Arabidopsis thaliana: one gene and its partners. The protein of the gene in region 1 interacts with the protein of each later gene in a pairwise test. Each region holds a gene or a part of one and is shown in the gene's direction. Other genes may lie near its edges. The genes, in order: BLH4, ZFP8, LSMT-L and APA1.

Region 1 (7,844 bases):
TTTGAATTTAGGAAATAGTCCAATTTCTTATAGGCAACAAAAATATTCTAAATTATCCGTTAGCAAAAAATAATATTTATTGAGAAATCACTTGCATTAATTTAGATTAAGTAAATAGTTCAAACAAAAATTTGCGTGCTACACAATTTTCGATTTGGTATCTGATTCTGGCATGATAGATTCCAACATAAGTCTCCATAGATATATATACAAGTGGGCTTTTCACTTTTGCTTTCAAGCCTTCCATTAGTATTTATCCTATTGTGGATTTATAACCTACATAGCATATATCCAACATGTCTCTCTAACTGTTTGTGGGATGGATACGCACGTCAAATCGATTTTGGAAATTTTTTTTTTTTTAATATTTAATATACCTAGGATAATGTAATGACTAATGATACGTTAATTTTAACAGAAAATAATTGTGTTTGTATCTATACAACGTCATTATAATGTATGGCTGAAATTAATTTTATAAGTATAGGTTTAGAAAAAGAGATAGCTGAAGGTGTAGTTGTGAAACTACAGAACCATAAAATTTCGTTTTTTCCATGCATTAGTTGTGTGTGGATGGTTTACATATTACAAACATCGATGATGGTGAAAGGCTATCGGCCGACCGTGAAATCGTGCAGAGGATTAATCTTTGGATTTTAGTAAATATTTTGTAAAGATGATTTGGAGGTTTAGTCATCAGGCATGTTGTCATAACATCAAGGTTTTTTTTAAAACAATGGTATTTTTAAAAATATTATTGTTAAAGGGATATTTTTTAAAATGGGTAATCTAAAAAGCAATTTTAAAAAAATTTCAATAATCTTTGAGTGATAAAGTTTTATTAATTAATATAGATATAAAATAATATTTTGAAAGTTGAGAGTATCGTTTAACACAGAATGAGATATTTCCTAATCAATTAACACAAAATGAAACAACCTCGATTTGCAGCTAGATTTTTGCTTTATCATATCAAGCTTGAGGTAATCTCTAATGCTTTTTTTTTTACGATTTCGTGATGATAGATGTAATATAGCGGTTTCTGCAAAGAAATTTAAAATAATTGATTTAGCCACATATGTTACCAAAATGTAATTATAATTTGATCGATTTTTATGTATTTCATTTGTTTCATATTATAATTTGATCGATTTTTGATATATCGTATGATTAGTTAATTGAATAAATGTACATACATGAAAAAGTAGTCTAAAATGACATAGGTCTCCCCTAAACAACAAATACACACAATATTAAAGAATAAAATTAGAGAGCATCATAGGAATATTATATAAGTATTTAATTTGTCAAATAAGAATATTTTATTTTATTTTATTTTGGCTCGAAATAAGAATATATTGAAGCACAAAAATATGTGGAAGTATTTATGGTGGTGGTTTGGTTCATTGAGATATGACCTTTGGACTCACCTTATCTTCCTATTCTTTTTAGTTTGCTTTCATAAATTAGTTTCCAAATTAACTCCTTTAAAATGTTGATATCAGCCGACATTTCCGTGATAAAAAGTTTTTTTTTCTCTTATAAATAAATAATAACGTTGACAAAAAAAAAAGACAAGAAAAAAAAACAAGGATAATTTCGTAATTTCAGGATGTGTATAGTTTTTTTTTGTCTTTCCTCCTCATCGTTATTGATATGAAGAAACCTTTGCCGATTAAAATTAAAAAGAAGATGTTTATAAAAATACTTCATTATAAAAAAATGATAAATCAAGATTTTAATAACAAAAAAATATTAAAGAAGATTGGTGGGTTAAAAAGGGAGGCGATGAAGAAAGAACAGCGACCTCTTCTTCTCTCTTCCCTCTCTCTTCCTTTCTCTTTGGGAGAGATTTTTTTATAAGTTTTTGGTTTTGCAGAATTTGCTGAATAAAAACTCTCACTAACAGAGAAATATAAAATAAAAAGAGTACTCAAGAAAAAGAAAGCTAGAGAGAGAGGTATAGAAGAAAACGATAGCTATAAGCTCATCATCAATCATTTCTTTAATTCTCTGCAACTCCAAGGTACTTCCTCTCTCTCTCTCTCTCTCTCTCTATACCATATATGTAGATGATGACCGAAGCTGAAAGTGAGAACCTTAAAAGAGTTACAAGAAAGAGATTGGAGAAAAACTGTATAATACCTAGTTGACTCCTCTCTCTCTCTCTCTCTTTCTTTTTCTTGTATTTTTTTTTTGTATGTGTTATATAAGATTCTCTGTGTATGTCTGAATCCTTACAGGATCCAAGAGCTTTGGAAAAAAGATATAATGAATAACAAGATATGGGTTTAGCTACTACAACTTCTTCTATGTCACAAGATTATCATCATCACCAAGGAATCTTTTCCTTCTCTAATGGATTCCACCGATCATCATCAACCACTCATCAAGAGGAAGTAGATGAATCCGCCGTCGTCTCCGGTGCTCAAATTCCGGTTTATGAAACCGCCGGAATGTTGTCTGAAATGTTTGCTTACCCTGGCGGAGGTGGCGGCGGTTCCGGTGGAGAGATTCTTGATCAGTCTACTAAACAGTTGCTAGAGCAACAAAACCGTCACAACAACAACAATAACTCAACTCTTCATATGTTATTACCAAATCATCATCAAGGTTTTGCTTTCACCGACGAAAACACTATGCAGCCGCAGCAACAACAACACTTTACATGGCCATCTTCCTCCTCCGATCATCATCAAAACCGAGATATGATCGGAACCGTCCACGTGGAAGGAGGAAAGGGTTTGTCTTTATCTCTCTCATCTTCATTAGCCGCAGCTAAAGCCGAGGAATATAGAAGCATTTATTGTGCAGCCGTTGATGGAACTTCTTCTTCTTCTAACGCATCCGCTCATCATCATCAATTCAATCAGTTCAAGAATCTTCTTCTTGAGAATTCTTCTTCTCAACATCATCACCATCAAGTTGTTGGACATTTTGGTTCATCATCATCATCTCCCATGGCGGCTTCTTCATCCATTGGAGGGATCTACACGTTGAGGAATTCGAAATATACGAAACCGGCTCAAGAGTTGTTGGAAGAGTTTTGTAGTGTTGGAAGAGGACATTTCAAGAAGAACAAACTTAGTAGGAACAACTCAAACCCTAATACTACCGGTGGAGGAGGAGGCGGAGGGTCCTCGTCATCGGCCGGAACAGCTAATGATAGTCCTCCTTTGTCTCCGGCTGATCGGATTGAACATCAAAGAAGAAAAGTCAAGCTACTATCTATGCTTGAAGAGGTAACGTTTTCACTCAATATTTTTTCTCTAACCAAACTAATTAATTTTCTATCAAACTTTTAATGAACCGTTCTAATGATTGAATTGATCAAACAACCAATTTCATATCAATCGCTACAAAATTTTATTTTTCTTCGTGATTTTTTTCTTCTTATATAATTAATTCTAAATCGACCAATATTTTCATAAACTCTATATATGTTATTTTCTTAAAAAAATAAATGTATAGAGAATGACCGACTGGTACAAGAGCACGACACATGCTCTAGTTGGTAAAGCCTGATTACGCAATCCTACTATCACTTATATAATTTTTCTAACTAATATCATTATATGGTGTTATATGGTCTAATTTGATATATTAATGCATATTTTGTGTCACGCGTTTGGTGGCATCGCTTAATCAAATTTAACATAAGAAATTAATATATGATTGATTAAGTGATTTAGTCTTCACAACCATAAATTTTAAATTAGAGTTTCCTTCTCCATATAAGCTAGCCACCTTCACTACGTAACCAAAACTAGTCCTTGAAGTTACTTCATTATTTATCTTACAATTTATTTTGTAGTTGACATTATCTTCTTTCAAGAATTTAGTATATGTTCCAAGATAGCATAAATTGTTAGCAAGAGAAGATAACACATTGAAGTATCTAAACGAACTAATCACTTGAGGTTTATATTTTATCTTAGAAATTGAGCTAATAAAAAAAAAACAAGAACTCATCTATGTATAGTTCATTTATTTAAAATTTAATTTGTAGGTGGACCGACGGTACAACCACTACTGCGAACAAATGCAAATGGTAGTGAACTCATTCGACCAAGTAATGGGTTACGGCGCGGCGGTTCCGTACACGACATTAGCTCAAAAGGCAATGTCTAGGCATTTCCGGTGTTTGAAAGACGCGGTAGCGGTTCAGCTTAAACGCAGCTGTGAGCTTCTAGGGGATAAAGAGGCGGCAGGGGCTGCATCCTCGGGGTTAACCAAAGGGGAAACGCCGCGATTGCGTTTGCTAGAGCAGAGTTTGCGTCAGCAACGAGCGTTTCATCATATGGGTATGATGGAGCAAGAGGCATGGAGACCGCAACGTGGTTTGCCTGAACGCTCCGTTAATATCCTTAGAGCTTGGCTATTCGAGCATTTTCTTAATCCGTAAGTCCATTTTCTAATCCCTTAATAATACTTACCTACTCTTATTCTTCGATAATACTAATCTTCTTGAATGTTGACTATACATTATAAAATGTAGACTACCATAATGCATTGATACCAAGACTTTAACTAATATACGTTTATTAAACTTAAGTTATGAAAGTGACAAAAAAATTTTTTTTTTTATAACTCTTTTGTTATGCGGGAAGATATATTTCTATTTCAATCAAAATTAAAAGCTGCTGGCTTTTTTAGAAAACCAAAATAATTTTTGTAAAATGAAGTTCCGTTTCTTCACTGAGTTTGATTATTTTATGTTTATTACTACTAATAAAAATTTAAATATCAAATATTTTTTCCTTTTCATACCACCCATAAGAATGGTCAGCTAAGAGTACTCCAAAATAACAAGGGTAACAATTCATTGACTAGGAGACTTTCATGAAAACTGTATGTTTATATTTATATTAATGTAGGTTATATTGCATGGCAAATTAAAGGGTTTAAATAATTAATGCAACAAAAGAAGTTTGCAGAGTGAGATCGCAAACTTTTATGCTTTGGGATCATAATAGCATCCTAAGGGTTTCTCTGTCTCTGCCTAACCTTTCCTTTATAGTTTTTTTTTCTTTAATTTGCTTTAATTCATTCCACATACTATTATCAAAAGAAGTAACAATGCCATTAACATAACTACAAAAAAATAAGTCTCAGATTTGTCAGTGGTACAGTTTCATTGGTATATTGTCCCTTAAGAAAGACAGAAATCAAAAAGAGGAAAAAAAAAATCTAAAAGCTGAAAAAAGCAATTTCTTCTGTCATTATTCATCAGTACTTTCTCTATTTAATGTCTGCAGAATTTTACTATTTTGTTGTTAGTGAAGTAAAGAAGAGAAGAGTTGTACAGATAAATATTTTGCTTTATGATGAAAAATAAGTTAAGATACAAAAATAAAATAAAATGCTTCTATTCTGAAATCAGCTTTTTCTTTTGTCCCTTAGATTCTCACGCCCTTGTAAGGAGAAAGTTTGTACCTTTTCTTGCATCTACTTGATTGTGTTTTTCCTCTCTATCTATATTCAAAAAAAGAGAAAAGAAAAAAATTATTGGTTTAGGGTTCTAAAGATTGTGAAGTCATTTTCTGGTCTCTTTCTCAGGTACCCAAGCGATGCTGATAAGCACCTCTTAGCACGACAGACTGGTTTATCCAGAAATCAGGTCAGCCTTTATCTATATAGATACATACATCAATATTTTTTTAATATAATATGTTTTCATACTTATCATACAAGAACCCTTTTAATTACTCATTTACATATATGTACTTAACTCACAATTTACCATATATATCAATCATTTCATCATGCAAAATCTGACATGAGTGGCTTCATGTCTATTCTCTTGCATGGATTTTCAATATCACGAATCATTTGTTTTTCTTGGGGTTCGTTTTCTTCATTAAATACATTATCTACACTTACACACACAAGGATATATAAAACATAGGAGAGAGAGATGTAAGTATTTCTCAAGTACATGAAAGTTTGAAGCTTTCATTTCAATGTTAACTAGCAGACCTCTAAGTCTTGTACACATTAATTATTTACATCACAAGTAGTTTATTACACTTGGCTTCAAATATCCATTAGTATATTTCAACCTTCAAATTGTTGTTTTAACATTATTATGTTTCATGTGTTCAAATAAAAAAACATTATTATGTTTCAAATTTTTAATTTAGAAATTTCATCTAAGCCTTTCAGTAAATACATAAGTTAACATCAAATCAAAATTACTTGAAACATGTCAAAAGTTATCTTGTTCTTGTAAGAATATAATGAAAAATTTAATATATATCTTCTTTTTAATAGATGTCTCAAAGGAAACACATGTATCATAATTTTTACTCCTTTCCTATCATTTTAACTTAAGGTTTTAGCTATCCTATTTTTTTTGTTTCATTTGTTTAAACTAATTTTCTTCACAGTAAATGACTTATTATTTTAACTTTACTTAATATAAAACAAATGAAGTATATACAAAAACAATCAAAACCATATTTAATGTAAAAAGGAGTATTTCACATTTCATTGAAAAGTTTTTTTTTCCTTCTAAAAGTTAAGTTTCTTTTAATATTATAAACTTGTTAAGAGTAAATTGTGATTAATATTAGTTCATATGTCTCGTTTTTTCAGGTGTCAAATTGGTTCATAAATGCTAGGGTTCGCCTATGGAAACCAATGGTGGAAGAGATGTATCAACAAGAAGCAAAAGAAAGAGAAGAAGCAGAAGAAGAAAATGAAAATCAACAACAACAAAGAAGACAGCAACAAACAAACAACAACGACACGAAACCCAACAACAATGAAAACAACTTCACTGTCATAACCGCACAAACTCCAACGACGATGACATCGACACATCACGAAAACGACTCTTCATTCCTCTCTTCCGTCGCCGCCGCTTCTCACGGCGGTTCAGACGCGTTCACCGTCGCCACGTGTCAGCAAGACGTCAGTGACTTCCACGTCGACGGAGATGGTGTGAACGTCATAAGATTCGGGACCAAACAGACTGGTGACGTGTCTCTTACGCTTGGTCTACGCCACTCTGGCAATATTCCTGATAAGAACACTTCTTTCTCCGTTAGAGACTTTGGAGATTTTTAGTCTTCTTTGTTTCTCAATTTATTCATCAAAATTTATTATAGTGAATTTTATTTTTTTGGTTTATCGATATATGTTTTTAGTTTCTTCACATACTTTTAAAATTTCCTTTCTTCTTTAGTTTTTTTTTCTGTCTTTTCTGTCGTAAGAAGAAGAGAGATATACATATATCAAGTGAGATCTAGCTACCAAAGTTCCATATATAATTATGCACATATTTTTATTTTATTCATGAAACTTATATCCTTACATTTTTGTATAGTTTTGTTCATACTAATTTTTTGTTCATATTAATACCCCTGCCAAATTACTCTAAATTTTGTTTTAGATTATGATTATGTACATATATTTTCTGGAAACTAAATTTCGTGTAGCATTTATTGGATTCTTCCATTTGATTTTTGCTAATAAGCGACAACAGTCTTTTAGGAAAGCGCCAATAAGTCACATCACTTTCCTTGTAATATCAAATTAATCATCTCAACTAATCCCTACTTACTACAACTATGTGCTCCTTAATTTAGTAATAGCAACAAAATATACTTGGTACGTACCCGATCGACTTATTAACAATTGTATTATCTTCAGTTTATAGTAAAATAGTTAAGAAAAACGTGACATATTTGTTTAAAAAGAAAACAAATAATCTTTTGAGTTAGGTTCTTTAGTTTTTTTCTCTGAGAAACAATTATCCAAAACTCCAAAGGTTTGGTTACATGTCATATTGGGGGATATGTCAATCGAGACGGAGACGTTTTAGTTCTACAAAGGGACAT
Region 2 (3,353 bases), 7.4 Mb from region 1:
CTTTTATAAGAGAATAGTTTATCTGTTGACCAAAAAAAAAGGAATAGTTTATCTATCCACAAATGGATGATCCATATTGGAGTATATAGAACGATAAGAGATGATTCGATACGTACTAAATGAAAACTTTGAATACTGTGTATAGTAAGCAATCAGCATTAGTTTACAAGATCTTAGTTTTCGTAGGATTAGTTTAGACTGTTTAGTAATTTGATTCCAACCATTGTACAGGAGAAAATTTTTACCGCTCAAAACAACTAACTGAACGTCATACTTAATTGGGAATTTGGGAGTCGTCAAAGAAATGAAAAAGGTCAGATTAATTTATGGATTAATGAGTTTTATAGTCCTTATTCCAGCTTGACATTAGCAACATATACATTATTTGTGTGACATAATCAGGGAATATATATAATCAAAATTAATGGGATTTAAAATTTAATTATTCTTACAAAATATCAAAAAATTTAGTGTAGACGAACAAAAAGAGAATACATATATATATATAGTTCATTTGAAGAAGACGTGTATATGATCGATCCGAGTTGATAAGTATTAACAGATTACATACATATTGATAAGATGATGTGATCTCATCGATTAAGGTTCAATCTTTTAAATTGGTTAACTATCTGGTGATGACATGTCAACTAGTCGATTATGAGCATCATTAATGATCATGAACATGGACCACCTCTCTCTCTCTGTAAGATTATCTTTGCATCAAAGAGACAAAACATCCAAGAGACTAAAAGTATGGTCCTTGAGAGAGAAGAAGTCTCTTTAATTAGGTCTTTCTATTTCTCTCTCTCTCTATTAGTAGTAAAATCCATGTACTTATACGTAGACATAATAACCAAATAGGTCCGTGATGTTAAAGAGTACACACCTAACTTCACCTTGCTAATGATCTCTTACCTACAAACTCTCACTGTTTTTAGTTCATCTCATTACTCACTGTGACCCCATTTCATCTGCTTACGACCAATTTGGTAAGCTTTTTGTCTTAGTTTCAACATTTGCAGGAATCACTTTAAGAAACAACTAACTAAAAAGGAGATAACTTTGAAAAAGGAGGATTGATGGGTTTGTTTTTGATGAGATGGATATTTGTATATGTATGTCTAATGAGAGATATATTGCGTAGGGGAAGTGAATGTAGATTAGAGGTCTCCCTATATATTGATTGATTTTATCCGGCTATTTTTACCTACCGCGACACACGGTATAGATTCATAGTAAGCTACAATTTAAACACAAGATAAATCTGTAATCATATAGTATAGTACTATGCTTCCATATATACCCCATATTTACGTCTCCTATGCTTCCATACGCTAATTAGTTTTTTTTTTTTTCCAACCATAATTGCAGGTTTATATAAACATGAACTAACGAAAAAAATAAAATATAAACATGCACCATGGAGTCAATTTTAAAATTCTATGAGGTTTGATTTTCAAAAGGAAAAATCTAATATACTAATGAAAAAATTGAGATCATAAAAAAACTAATGAAGAAGTAGATTTATTTATTTTGAAAAATATGTACAAGTGAAATGTGGATCATTCTTTAGCTATATATATATAGGTGGATAAACGTAAAATCACGCACGCGGCCATGCTGCAGGGGTTAAATAGCAATTATGTATTTACCTTAAAAAGAATTTGGGAACCTCTCTTTAAATTAATGCAAAACCTCATCTCTTGTCTTTCTGTCTCTGAAACAGTCAACCTCATTCTTCTCAAACTCACTCTCCCTGATCTCTCTCTTCCATGGACGAAACCAACGGACGAAGAGAAACTCACGATTTCATGAACGTCAACGTTGAATCCTTCTCTCAGCTTCCTTTCATCCGCCGTACTCCTCCCAAAGAAAAAGCCGCCATTATTCGTCTCTTCGGCCAAGAGCTCGTCGGTGATAACTCCGACAACTTATCCGCAGAACCTTCTGATCATCAAACCACTACCAAGAACGATGAGAGCTCTGAGAATATCAAGGACAAAGACAAAGAAAAAGATAAGGACAAAGACAAAGATAACAACAACAACAGGAGATTCGAGTGTCACTACTGCTTCAGAAACTTCCCAACTTCTCAAGCCCTAGGTGGACATCAAAACGCTCACAAACGTGAACGTCAACACGCCAAACGCGGTTCCATGACATCATACCTTCATCATCATCAGCCTCATGACCCTCACCACATCTACGGCTTCCTCAACAACCACCACCACCGTCACTATCCGTCTTGGACGACGGAAGCTAGATCATACTACGGCGGAGGGGGACATCAAACGCCGTCGTACTACTCAAGGAATACTCTTGCTCCTCCTTCTTCTAACCCACCGACAATCAACGGAAGTCCTTTAGGTTTGTGGCGTGTACCGCCTTCCACGTCAACAAATACTATTCAAGGCGTTTACTCATCTTCACCAGCTTCAGCGTTTAGGTCGCATGAGCAAGAGACTAATAAGGAGCCTAATAACTGGCCGTACAGATTGATGAAACCCAATGTGCAAGATCATGTGAGTCTCGATCTTCATCTCTGACTTCTTTTATTTTATTTTTTTATCATCCATCATTGCTGTGATATATGAGACTCGCTGATCGGTGAAGCCAATTCTTTTGAGAGTGTTGGAGACTGAAAAAAAGAAAAAGAAAACGAGAACCGGTTTGGTGTGTAGATCATCTTGAACCTTTTTGAGGTTTTCACATTCTGAGTTTATATTAATAAAGGGAATAATATTTTGGTTAATTAGTAAAATTCGTTCATCCGTTTAATTTCCTCTCACGTGTGTGTGAATGTGAATGATATAATTATCGTTTTTTTTGTTTGATTTCATCTGTTCATTTGTGAGTTCTGTTATGGCTTCCTTCAAGACTCTCTATAACTTTCAGAGAAAGAGGAACATTAATTTAAGGGCCATGGAAGTCACACGTACTTTCTCTCTGTTGTTGCAGTCGAGATATTTAAAGTCTTAACCATTAAAAACCCCAGAAGACTCTTTAGATACAAAATGCTTAGGGTCTCTGTCTAATTAAAACGGTCTTTTACCGAATCAAGAGGCAACGAAGGATGGGTAAATGCAGATGTTGATGATGATTCGGTGACTGTGGGGATCACTGAAGACAATGGACAAGACAAAAGGGGAGAGAGAGAGAGAGAGTTGAGAAGTGAAAGTGGTCCATGATTACAAGTGTAGAGTTAGCCAAAGATAGAGCTTTCACATCTTTCTCAACACACAGAACCTAAAGCTAAAGCCTTTCCTCAAAAGCTTTCTTCTTTAGTTTCTTTTCTAACCTTTTTTTGGGCAGTTCAAAGAGAATCATCAACTACAAGCTGTCTACCATAT
Region 3 (4,343 bases), on another chromosome or scaffold:
TCGAACTAAAGGAAGCCTTTTCACCTAGCCATAGAATATACATATACAATACCATTTGTAGTTAAATTTAATAACTATCCTATTTATATGAGTTTTTAAAAAAAAAAAAAAAAGAGTAAAGGTAAGATATCTGTTTGGCAACGAACTAAGAAAATATATTTTAGAGGGATGAATTTTGTTGACCAACCTGAATTGTGTCAATCCGACCACCACATCATGTCGTCATCCCGATATTGACCGCGTTTTGTGGTTTTCGTGAGAAGTGTTTTCTCAGTCTCTGATTTAAAATTGCGATTAGTGAGTTGTTTTTCAGGTTTACCACACGAGTTTCGGCGCGACAAGCGGTTCCGTTAGAAGAGTTTATGTTCTTGACATTTGATATTTTGTATGACAAATTAGTACTTATTACATTTTGACAAAGAAAAATACACTCTATTGAAACAGTCTAATTGCATATTAACAACTAAAACAGTCTTGTTGCCAATTTTGGAATTTTGAACAATTTTTGAAAGTAATGAAAAGTCATTCACGTGTCTCCCATCTCAAACTTAACACGTTATATTAGCAAAAGTAAACTGATCTTAATCAATATCGACGTTGTACCTTAATTTCATGGACCAAGTTATTGTCTAAAACTTAAAATAGCGGCCATTTCGACGGAAAAAAGTAGCAATAAACTTTGGTTTTCTCGTTAATAATTAAAGTTATATCAGAAACATATTTGGAATTGATCATAATCTTAATTAAGCCGAGAGAGTGTAATAGGTTTTGTTTTGTTTTTTGATAAGAGTGTAATAGGGTTTCTGATAGGTATCACATTACACATGTACCTTACTGGTCTCATATCCCGTGGTCAAGCCGGCAAAACAAGAGAAAGGAAAGTTCCGCTTTTACATGTGATTACTACGTACGTACCATTACCTATATTACAAAGTAAATTACTTGTCTTCTACGTTGATGGAGAATAGTGGATCATTGTACCCCCTAAATTACAAATTTAAGACTAATTTCTATTTGATTAAGAATAGTGAATAAGACTTGTATATTTGATTCTTCAATTACAATAAGTATTTTAGCACACAATTAAATATGAACTACTTAAACACATAATTAAATCAAAAACATTTGAATTAGACCACTTGATATTATGATGATGATGATGATTATGAAGGTATGTGTGATATGGTGGGTACATACTACATATATGTCTCGGCCAATCTCTTTTGTTGTTGTTGTTGTTGTTGTTGTTGTTGTTGTTGTTGTTGTTGTTGTTGTTGTAACATGTTGCATTATCTTGGAGGAATTTAGAATGAATATTGGGATCTCCATGAGATGTTACCTATTTAAAACTCAAGTGTCAAGTCAGTAGATTTGAGGTTGAAGCTATAGTTGACCATTTTTCTTCTTACAAAGGTTGAGATGACAAAAAAAAAAAAGAAAAAGAAGTTGAAGCTACCATAAGTTAAAAAGATAATTTTTTAAAAATGAAAATAAATACAGACAATTAACAATTTAATTACATCAGAACAAAAATAAAATGTAGGCCTTGGCCTTTTAGAATAATGGGCCTTTAACATTGGTAACTAGAATAACTAGATTTTTGTCTCATCAACAACTTAGAAAAAACTGATGTGATATTATTGTTATCCACACACTCTCTGTTTCACTGATACTACCCGCCATCGGAAAACCACCATGTCAGCCTCCGTCGCCGTCGTGTCGGGTTTTCTCCGTATCCCGTCAATTCAAAAGTCTCAAAACCCTTCCTTTCTCTTTTCTCGACCCAAGAAATCTTTGGTGAGACCCATTTCAGCTTCAAGCTCAGAGTTGCCGGAAAATGTTCGGAATTTCTGGAAATGGCTCAGAGACCAAGGAGTCGTATCCGGGAAGTCTGTGGCAGAACCTGCGGTGGTACCGGAAGGTTTGGGACTTGTAGCCAGGCGTGATATTGGAAGAAACGAGGTCGTATTGGAGATTCCCAAGCGATTGTGGATAAACCCAGAGACAGTGACTGCTTCCAAGATTGGACCTTTATGCGGCGGATTAAAGCCGTGGGTTTCAGTAGCTCTGTTTTTGATCAGAGAGAAGTATGAAGAAGAGTCTTCATGGAGAGTTTATCTTGATATGCTTCCTCAATCTACTGATTCTACTGTCTTCTGGTGGGTTTTGTCCTTCTCTGATCATCAATTGTATCTCTGATCAACACTAAGCTGATGAGATGTCTTCTTCGTGAAATGTCTCCAGTACAGGTCAGAAGAGGAGCTTGCTGAGCTTAAAGGTCCATTTTCTTACCCTTTTCTTTGAAAAGTCTGATCATTGTTTAGATTCATACCAATTGGTCTGAGTAGCAGTAGCTGATGATGATGTACATTATTAACTTTGTGGTTACTGTTGTTTGGCTCAGGGACTCAACTGTTGAGCACCACATTGGGTGTGAAAGAGTATGTGGAGAATGAATTCTTGAAACTGGAACAAGAGATATTACTGCCTAACAAAGATCTCTTCTCATCCCGCATAACACTTGATGACTTCATATGGGCGTTTGGGATCCTCAAGTCGAGGGCTTTTTCTCGTCTCCGTGGCCAAAACCTTGTCTTGATCCCTCTTGCAGACTTGGCAAGCTATCTTCTTGTTTCAGATATTGTCTAGTGAAAACTTCAGAAAATAATCTTCATTCATTGATGCTTGGCTCAGCAGAGAATCTCTGACTTCAATGTTTGAATTTGAACAGATAAACCATAACCCCGCGATAAAGACAGAAGATTATGCATACGAGATCAAAGGAGCCGGCCTTTTCTCTAGAGATCTCTTATTTTCCTTGAAGTCACCTGTTTATGTTAAAGCAGGTGAGCAGGTATGCTCCAAACACTGTCTACTTAGTTTTCTCCCTCAAGAGTGTAAGAACAAGCCCTTTAATACTGTTTGGATGATCTCTTCCATAGGTATACATTCAGTACGATCTGAACAAAAGCAATGCAGAACTTGCTCTCGACTATGGTTTTGTGGAATCAAACCCTAAACGGAACTCATATACTTTAACAATAGAGATACCAGAATCAGACCCATTCTTTGGGGATAAGTTGGATATTGCTGAGAGTAACAAGATGGGTGAGACCGGATACTTTGACATAGTAGACGGCCAGACTCTTCCCGCTGGTATGCTTCAGTACCTTCGGCTTGTGGCTCTTGGCGGTCCAGATGCTTTCTTATTAGAATCTATCTTCAATAACACCATATGGGGTCATCTTGAATTGCCTGTAAGTCGTACAAACGAGGAACTCATATGCCGTGTTGTCAGAGATGCCTGCAAATCTGCTCTGTCTGGTTTTGATACGACCATTGAAGAGGTATATATGTTCGAGCTCTTACTTGTACTGTCTTTGCAGCTTAACACTCATTTCTTACTCGTCTTCATCGTCTGTTGTAGGATGAGAAGCTTCTGGACAAAGGAAAGCTTGAGCCTAGGTTGGAAATGGCTCTCAAGATAAGGATTGGTGAGAAGAGAGTGCTTCAGCAAATCGACCAAATCTTCAAGGATAGAGAGCTTGAACTTGACATTTTAGAGTATTACCAAGAGAGAAGGCTCAAAGATCTTGGGTTGGTTGGCGAACAAGGGGATATTATCTTCTGGGAAACCAAGTGAGAATTAGCTTAGCTTGTATAGCTTATCCTGCAGAACAAACTCAAGGCTAGAAAGAAAATCTTTACTGGTTTGGTCTCAGACCACATAGACTTGAATCAACCTCAAGACATCAGAGTTGAGAGACCACAATTTGTATGTTAGGCTATTGCCAAAAGCAGGCTTTTTGAAATTCTATAAGATGAGACATAATCTTCTTTTTAGTTACATCTTAATTTACGTAAAACTAAATAAATCAAGATCAGCAACTATGCAGGAAAATTGAAAAAAATTACAAACAAAAATGGAAAAACTCAGGGAAGGAACTATGCAGCTCCCGTTCAAGTGTTTGACATGCCGTCCTCTTGCGGAAGCAATGAGATATAATATGCTAAAAACATGACTTCAATGTGTTAAATTTCTATGGCCAAACAGGTCGTGGCAATTTGTACCTTCACAAAGACATTCTTGAGGATTTGCGTAGAAGTAATCTTCCTCCTTAGGTTTGTCAGAGATTACTCTTCGATGAGTAGGTGCTCCTGCTCGTCTCTCATGGGCTTCCTTGACTGCTACTGCAAACTGATCCCACGTGAGGGTCTTGTTGTGATGTAAGTCTAGTAGCTCCACGAGTCTCTTACGGTCAAGCAGGATTGTCTTCTTATATCCAAGGTATCTGCAAATTCAAATCAGATATAGACCAATAATGGTTATATAGAATCACAGG
Region 4 (6,412 bases), on another chromosome or scaffold:
ACAAAGGCACAAAAAATCTCGTGTCCTCGTATTAAACCCACAAACTCCACCACCTTTAGTCGTTTCTTGGCAAAGAAGGCACTTCATTGTCACTGGAAATTCGTAATCAACCCTTATCCCGTACTCTGGAAACTGATCATACGGTGCATTCTCCACACCTGTACTCCTCCAATACACACTTGTATACGTCGCACAGTCCTGCAGCATGAGCCTAAGAGATTGAGTCGCTTTAGGGTAATACGAACAACAAGAAACCCTAGATCCCAAAGCAGAGCCACATTCAGGCAAATGTCTGCATAGATAGCTAGAACTATCGCAGGACGAGTCACATCTATCTGGAAACCTTTCGCAGAAGAGCGGTTTTGGTTCGACGATAACTTTATCGGTGTTGCAGTTGAAGAACAAGTAGTCGTTTTGAGGAGAGACAGTGAAGTGTGTACTTGAATCGATGCTAAAAGATCTAGTGGGTCGAAAATTGTCTCGATCTTGACAGTTCCACATGAATGGATCGGAGACAAGAAGGTGAGGATCAGAGTAGCTTATAGATTTAACAGGGTATTTACCAGATGGTGTTCTAAGTTCGAGCTTGGTATCGTTGTCGGAGCAAATGAGCATGTGTCTGTAATAAGGGCTACCACAACCGTCGTCGATGGAAAAAGGGTAATTTATCGGAATGTTGCCGCAAGAAGATCTGCAGAGATTTGATTGGGATGATGTTGTTGATGATTGAAGAAGGATGGTCATGAGAAGGGAGAAGAAGATAATGTAAGAGTGAAGTGGAGACATTGTTCAAAAATTAGGAGTTTAGATTTGATTATTGGGTAGTTTTTAGTTATGAGATTATAATTTGGTGGTGTGAAGTGTTGAGTAAGCTTGGAATGTCTTGTTAAAGAGTTTAAGAATCAATCTTGTCATGTGCTTGTTAATATTGCTTATTTTAGGTTTCGGTTTGTTTTTAAAATTTCACCTTTCTTTTTAGTATAAAGTATTCCAAGAGGACTCGTGGTTTTGTTTCAGATTATTTGAAATATTTACATACAATATGTCAACAAACGTACTATTCTTTTTTCTGATATTTTACAACAAAATTTGTTCTTTAACATGTTATCTAAAAACCATTTAACAAAAAAAATAAAATGTATGAGAACCTTATAAAATACAAAATAGTAATTTCAGTATATAATAGTTTTGAATTTTCTTTTATTTAGAATTTCGTTTAAAGGGTTGTGATTTGTGAAGTAATCTTTGGAAGATAATCTCAATGTAAACAACACATTGGGCTTCTCATAGGCCCAATATAAACAACACATTGATCATTATCCATGTAAGGTGAACTCTTTAATCGAAACCGTTCAATTTCAGTCATCTCAATCCAACGGTTAGTATTCCAAGGAGCACGTAATCCACTCTAAATTCGTAAACACGTGATTTCTCACTAAATATAAAACTTGATACGTTACGCCTTCCTATCCATCCGTCAACGATTAAATCCAATCGTTCAATATAGAGATCCAACGGCTAATAACGAAACATTAGCCCACACGAAATCTCCTTTTTTTTTTTGACGGGATTATACAGTGGGCCTCCACCTGTAATTGTCCATTTAGGAGACAGCGCGGTTAATTTAGCATTATCCCTCCTCACAGTCATCTCTTTCTTCGCAAATAAATGTAACCATCTCTCTTCTCGTTTTCTTCAACAAAAATCCTCATTTCTCTGAGAATCTGGTGCTTTAGCTTTGGTGAGCTCTCTTTCTTATGAAACTTATCGATTCTCTTCTCGTTGATTGTCTTATACTTTTAGTTCTCTGCTTAATTTATTGTCCTTAATACTCGTGGATTTGTTCATAAATCGTTTTCTGAGCAGTTAGGTAAGAGTTTTGTTACCGAATTTCATGTTCTTCGATTTTGAATCTGGATGATTGTATGATGTGATTAGTAGACTCGCTTAGATTTTGTGATCTGTGTATGGTTTGTGGCTAATTTTGGTTTCATCGGTGGTATGAATTTATTTGGGGTTTTAGGTTTGTTTGATTACGTAATCGGACTGTTTACTTGAAGATTTATCGATTATAGTTGTGATCGTTTTTAGTTGATTGAGAAGAAGAAAATAAATTTCATGCTCTTGTTATTGTCGCGATTGTGGCGATTTTCAGTGTCTTATGAATCAATTATGTTGCATGTGAGTCTTGGTGCAATTGAGATTGTTTCCTTTTTTTACTAGATTGCTTGTCTTATTGAACAAAACTTTCCATTTATGTTGAAAAGGTTTATAGGAACGGATGTTTAGGGTTTTGTTGTAATCTGGGTATTTGCTTTCTGATTTCGGCAAGCAAATGTCGATTTCAAGGTTTATATCACTTTCTCTAGCAAAAGAAGTCTTTAGTCATTTGCAAAGTCAAGAGAGTTTTTACTTTATTTATTGCTTCCACGCTATTGCTTCGTGGCTGATTGAGAGAGACCAATTAAACTAATAATTTGTAGTTTGTACAATATATTGCGTGTAACATTGTCCTTCGTTATCTGTTTGAGGAGGAGGACCGAGTTAGCCTATTTTTAGTCACTTTACAAATTTTCTTTTATGTTGCATCATTCAATATGAACTCTCTGATATAAATATATGTATACATACTGGTTGACTTTTATGGGTATGGTTCTCTGCTTTTTTTCTCTGTGATGGTCTCTTGATTCTAACTTTCTTTGTTTTATGTTTTTGGTTTTTGTTGTCAATGAATAGGTAAAATGAAGATATACTCTAGAACGGTTGCTGTTTCACTCATTGTGTCATTCCTCCTGTGTTTCTCTGCCTTTGCTGAGCGCAATGACGGGACCTTCAGAGTTGGACTGAAAAAACTCAAGTTGGATTCGAAAAATCGGCTTGCAGCACGCGTCGAATCCAAGCAAGAAAAGCCCCTGAGAGCTTACAGACTTGGAGATTCTGGAGATGCTGATGTTGTTGTGCTTAAGAATTATCTAGATGCTCAGTACTATGGTGAGATCGCCATTGGTACTCCACCTCAGAAGTTCACTGTGGTTTTTGACACTGGGAGCTCTAACCTCTGGGTGCCATCATCAAAATGCTATTTCTCAGTAAGCAACATTTGGACTATTGTTGTTAGCTGTGGTTGAGATACTTTTGAGTAGAAAACTAATTGTGTTCTATCTCTTTTGCAGCTTGCATGTCTCTTGCATCCCAAATACAAGTCGTCTCGTTCAAGCACATATGAGAAGAATGGTTTGTTCTCTCTCTTAACTTGAAATTTTTTGCAGTTGGATTTCCCAGTTGGTAGATACTTTACAGTTCACTCAATGTAGCCTCTAGAATTCATGTTAATGTGCAGAAAACCATTGTTAAAAGATGCAACATCACTACTGATAGCAGCTGCTAGGTTATAACTAACTTGCTCATCTTTGATGCAGGAAAAGCTGCCGCAATTCATTACGGCACTGGAGCAATTGCTGGTTTTTTTAGTAATGATGCTGTCACAGTTGGCGATTTAGTTGTCAAGGATCAGGTAAACTATATGTCCGACCCTAATCAGTACTCTTACAACATACACATCAATGACCTCCTTCTTAACATTTGTCTATCTCATCAGGAGTTTATCGAGGCAACCAAGGAGCCTGGTATAACATTTGTTGTAGCTAAATTTGATGGTATCCTTGGTCTTGGATTCCAAGAGATCTCTGTTGGAAAAGCTGCTCCTGTTTGGTATGCCTGCACATTCTTCTCTTGTTTGGACTGAGTTACTACATTCCTGTAGTGTTAATGCTAATATGTCTTGTTTTTTACAGGTACAACATGCTCAAGCAAGGCCTTATCAAGGAGCCGGTTTTTTCATTTTGGCTTAACCGTAATGCAGATGAAGAAGAAGGTGGTGAACTTGTATTTGGAGGTGTTGATCCAAATCATTTCAAGGGCAAACATACATATGTTCCTGTGACACAAAAGGGCTACTGGCAGGTTTGTGATACATCACTTCCTTGTCTGGTTTTCTCATAACGTTTTCCAGTGACGATCTAACTCAAGCTATATATATTTTGTTATAGTTTGACATGGGTGATGTTCTTATTGGCGGTGCACCCACTGGTATGTGTAACACTGATTGGCGTTGTTCTTTATAACACATATATATAGCTTTTCCTGACAAATTCAAAAAGGTTTTGCTATTTATGTTTGCTGGTGACAACTGGTTCTAAAGTTTGAGTTACTGTTATACAGGGTTCTGTGAAAGTGGCTGTTCTGCGATAGCAGATTCTGGTACATCTTTGCTTGCCGGTCCAACGGTAAGCAAGAATTAAAATTGCTTATAGCTTTATAGAATTATGGTTTTTTAACTAGTATATGTAGTAATATTTCAATTTTTTCCCTGTGTAGACTATAATCACCATGATAAACCATGCTATTGGAGCAGCTGGAGTTGTTAGCCAGCAGTGCAAGACTGTTGTGGATCAATACGGGCAGACCATTTTGGATTTACTTTTGTCTGAGGTTAGTGTGCTTAATATTGGACTAGCTAATAAAATCTGTGACAAGTCATATGCTGTGCAAATTATTTTGGCTTACCATTCATCCCCCTTGCGCCTTGCAGACCCAACCGAAGAAAATCTGCTCGCAGATTGGTCTGTGTACTTTTGATGGTACCCGTGGTGTCAGGTAAAGTTATAATCTGTAGTCATTGCCATTAAGCTAGGATCTTCATTTTGGAATGCTTGTTTGTTTTTCCGTGTGATCTGCTCATATTTAGTATGATTTTGTTTATAAATTATCTAGTATGGGCATTGAGTCGGTGGTGGACAAGGAAAACGCCAAATTGTCTAATGGTGTTGGAGATGCTGCGTGTTCTGCATGTGAGATGGCTGTTGTGTGGATCCAGAGCCAGTTGAGGCAAAACATGACTCAAGAGCGCATATTGAACTACGTCAACGAGGTAACCAATAAGTTGTCATTTCAAGACTTTTGTGAAACAGTAGTTATTGTTGTCCTGATTACTGATTATAAATCGCTACTGTGGGTTTTCTTAACAGCTATGTGAACGCCTCCCCAGCCCAATGGGAGAGTCTGCAGTTGACTGTGCACAACTGTCAACAATGCCCACTGTTTCACTTACCATTGGAGGCAAAGTATTTGATCTTGCTCCAGAAGAGGTATGATAGTGAACTATTTAAAGACAACATTCATATTATGTAGTGAATATGACCATCTACTAATCTGTTGTACTGGTATGATGTGAGCAGTATGTTCTGAAAGTTGGTGAGGGACCTGTGGCACAGTGCATCAGTGGTTTTATTGCTCTTGACGTTGCTCCACCTCGTGGACCTCTCTGGTAAACCATTGAATCTATTACTCTGTAGCACAATTTCTTCTTGCTTTCTTTTTCTAACCCTAAGAACGGTGGTAAAAATGTAACAGGATCTTGGGAGATGTGTTCATGGGCAAATACCACACCGTATTTGACTTTGGTAACGAACAGGTCGGGTTTGCAGAGGCAGCCTAAACACGATCGGGTTGGTGTCGCGTATGGTTTTAGTATGAACAATCTGCGTCTCAAGTGTTGTTTGTATGTTTTCTGGAGTTGAGGACTTTGAGTCGTAGTAGAAATGGTGGCGCAGTTCCTTTTAAGTTGTTTCCTAACGAAAAAAGGCCTTTGTAGTTTTGAAGGCATTGGCTTTGTAAATACCTTCTAAGTAAGTTCGATGGTGAAAAAACTGAAAACTTTAATAAAGCCTGCCTCTTTTGTTTATGCTTAGTAAGTTGTATCAAATGGTTCGGTAAAAACGGTGTAGCATAAAAAATTTGAAAATGGTCAAGCTCGCTTTATCTTCATTTTCTAACCACATAAATTCCTACGTCAAAAAGTCACGATGATAATAGTTATTTGTCATATATTGAAGAACGTTCCTGCTTGAAACATGCATTTTAAGTTGATAGACTGTTTGAGACCCAATTTTCTAAAACCTTAATAATTCGTCAAGAGCGAGGTAAATTCCCCAACACGAAGCTTGCAGCATCCTTCCTGAATTTCGGAACAAGTATCTATTTTGAACAAGTCTGTGAACTTATGAGAAATTATAATGACAACCCACTTGCAGCGACTGTATACGTATATGGAAGGAAATAAGAACCAATTCGAGAAGTTTTTGTTGCGAAATGAACAAGTTACAACGAGTTACAGTTTCCTATAGCAGAAGAATTGATTAATTTCTACCTTAGCTAAACACTTAAACAAGAAGCAAACCTATACTTGTTTTGTATTCTCTGATCTTTCCCAATCATCTTCCATGTTAACAAGATGCGATAACACCAAACCACAAGCTCCTGATATCAAACTCGAAACATATATATTCAGACGGCAGAATCGCAAAGAAGTTTCAAGTGTTGGAATAAGGTCTCTCAAGTATTCTTTTTGCTG

Evidence for each region.
Region 2: the proteins of BLH4 (region 1) and ZFP8 interact in a two-hybrid assay, tested with the Arabidopsis thaliana proteins (one large-scale study listed by BioGRID).
Region 3: the proteins of BLH4 (region 1) and LSMT-L interact in a two-hybrid assay, tested with the Arabidopsis thaliana proteins (one large-scale study listed by BioGRID).
Region 4: the proteins of BLH4 (region 1) and APA1 interact in a two-hybrid assay, tested with the Arabidopsis thaliana proteins (one large-scale study listed by BioGRID).

Annotation. Positions count from the first base shown.
Region 1 is NC_003071.7:10,107,178-10,115,021, reverse strand, and holds BLH4 (BEL1-like homeodomain 4), read left to right. Parts: upstream 1-2,016; 5' UTR 2,017-2,136; exon of another isoform or gene 2,137-2,243; 5' UTR 2,244-2,285; coding exon 2,286-3,242; intron 3,243-4,009; coding exon 4,010-4,401; intron 4,402-5,403; coding exon 5,404-5,620; intron 5,621-6,597; coding exon 6,598-7,071; 3' UTR 7,072-7,313; downstream 7,314-7,844. UniProt on the Arabidopsis thaliana protein: Transcription factor that establishes leaf shape by repressing growth in specific subdomains of the leaf. Negatively regulates knox homeobox gene KNAT1/BP expression.
Region 2 is NC_003071.7:17,505,781-17,509,133, forward strand, and holds ZFP8 (zinc finger protein 8), read left to right. Parts: upstream 1-1,562; 5' UTR 1,563-1,775; coding exon 1,776-2,549; 3' UTR 2,550-2,836; downstream 2,837-3,353. UniProt on the Arabidopsis thaliana protein: Probable transcription factor required for the initiation of inflorescence trichomes in response to gibberellin and cytokinin. Is not involved in the regulation of trichome branching. Is functionally equivalent to GIS2.
Region 3 is NC_003070.9:4,804,793-4,809,135, reverse strand, and holds LSMT-L (Rubisco methyltransferase family protein), read left to right. Parts: upstream 1-1,618; 5' UTR 1,619-1,695; coding exon 1,696-2,159; intron 2,160-2,249; coding exon 2,250-2,278; intron 2,279-2,404; coding exon 2,405-2,616; intron 2,617-2,731; coding exon 2,732-2,854; intron 2,855-2,942; coding exon 2,943-3,347; exon of another isoform or gene 3,348-3,427; coding exon 3,428-3,643; 3' UTR 3,644-3,830; downstream 3,831-4,343. Other genes in the region: AT1G14020 (O-fucosyltransferase family protein), read right to left, coding at 4,025-4,292. UniProt on the Arabidopsis thaliana protein: Protein-lysine methyltransferase methylating chloroplastic fructose 1,6-bisphosphate aldolases. Can also use with low efficiency gamma-tocopherol methyltransferase as substrate, but not a cytosolic aldolase.
Region 4 is NC_003070.9:4,016,204-4,022,615, reverse strand, and holds APA1 (aspartic proteinase A1), read left to right. Parts: upstream 1-1,850; 5' UTR 1,851-2,619; coding exon 2,620-2,647; intron 2,648-2,736; coding exon 2,737-3,089; intron 3,090-3,173; coding exon 3,174-3,234; intron 3,235-3,419; coding exon 3,420-3,514; intron 3,515-3,598; coding exon 3,599-3,711; intron 3,712-3,794; coding exon 3,795-3,963; intron 3,964-4,049; coding exon 4,050-4,089; intron 4,090-4,221; coding exon 4,222-4,286; intron 4,287-4,377; coding exon 4,378-4,491; intron 4,492-4,591; coding exon 4,592-4,656; intron 4,657-4,773; coding exon 4,774-4,930; intron 4,931-5,027; coding exon 5,028-5,147; intron 5,148-5,237; coding exon 5,238-5,326; intron 5,327-5,412; coding exon 5,413-5,497; 3' UTR 5,498-5,904; downstream 5,905-6,412. Other genes in the region: AT1G11915 (wall-associated receptor kinase galacturonan-binding protein), read right to left, coding at 1-786; AT1G11905 (B-cell receptor-associated protein 31-like protein), read right to left, coding at 6,394-6,412. UniProt on the Arabidopsis thaliana protein: Involved in the breakdown of propeptides of storage proteins in protein-storage vacuoles. Possesses aspartic protease activity in vitro.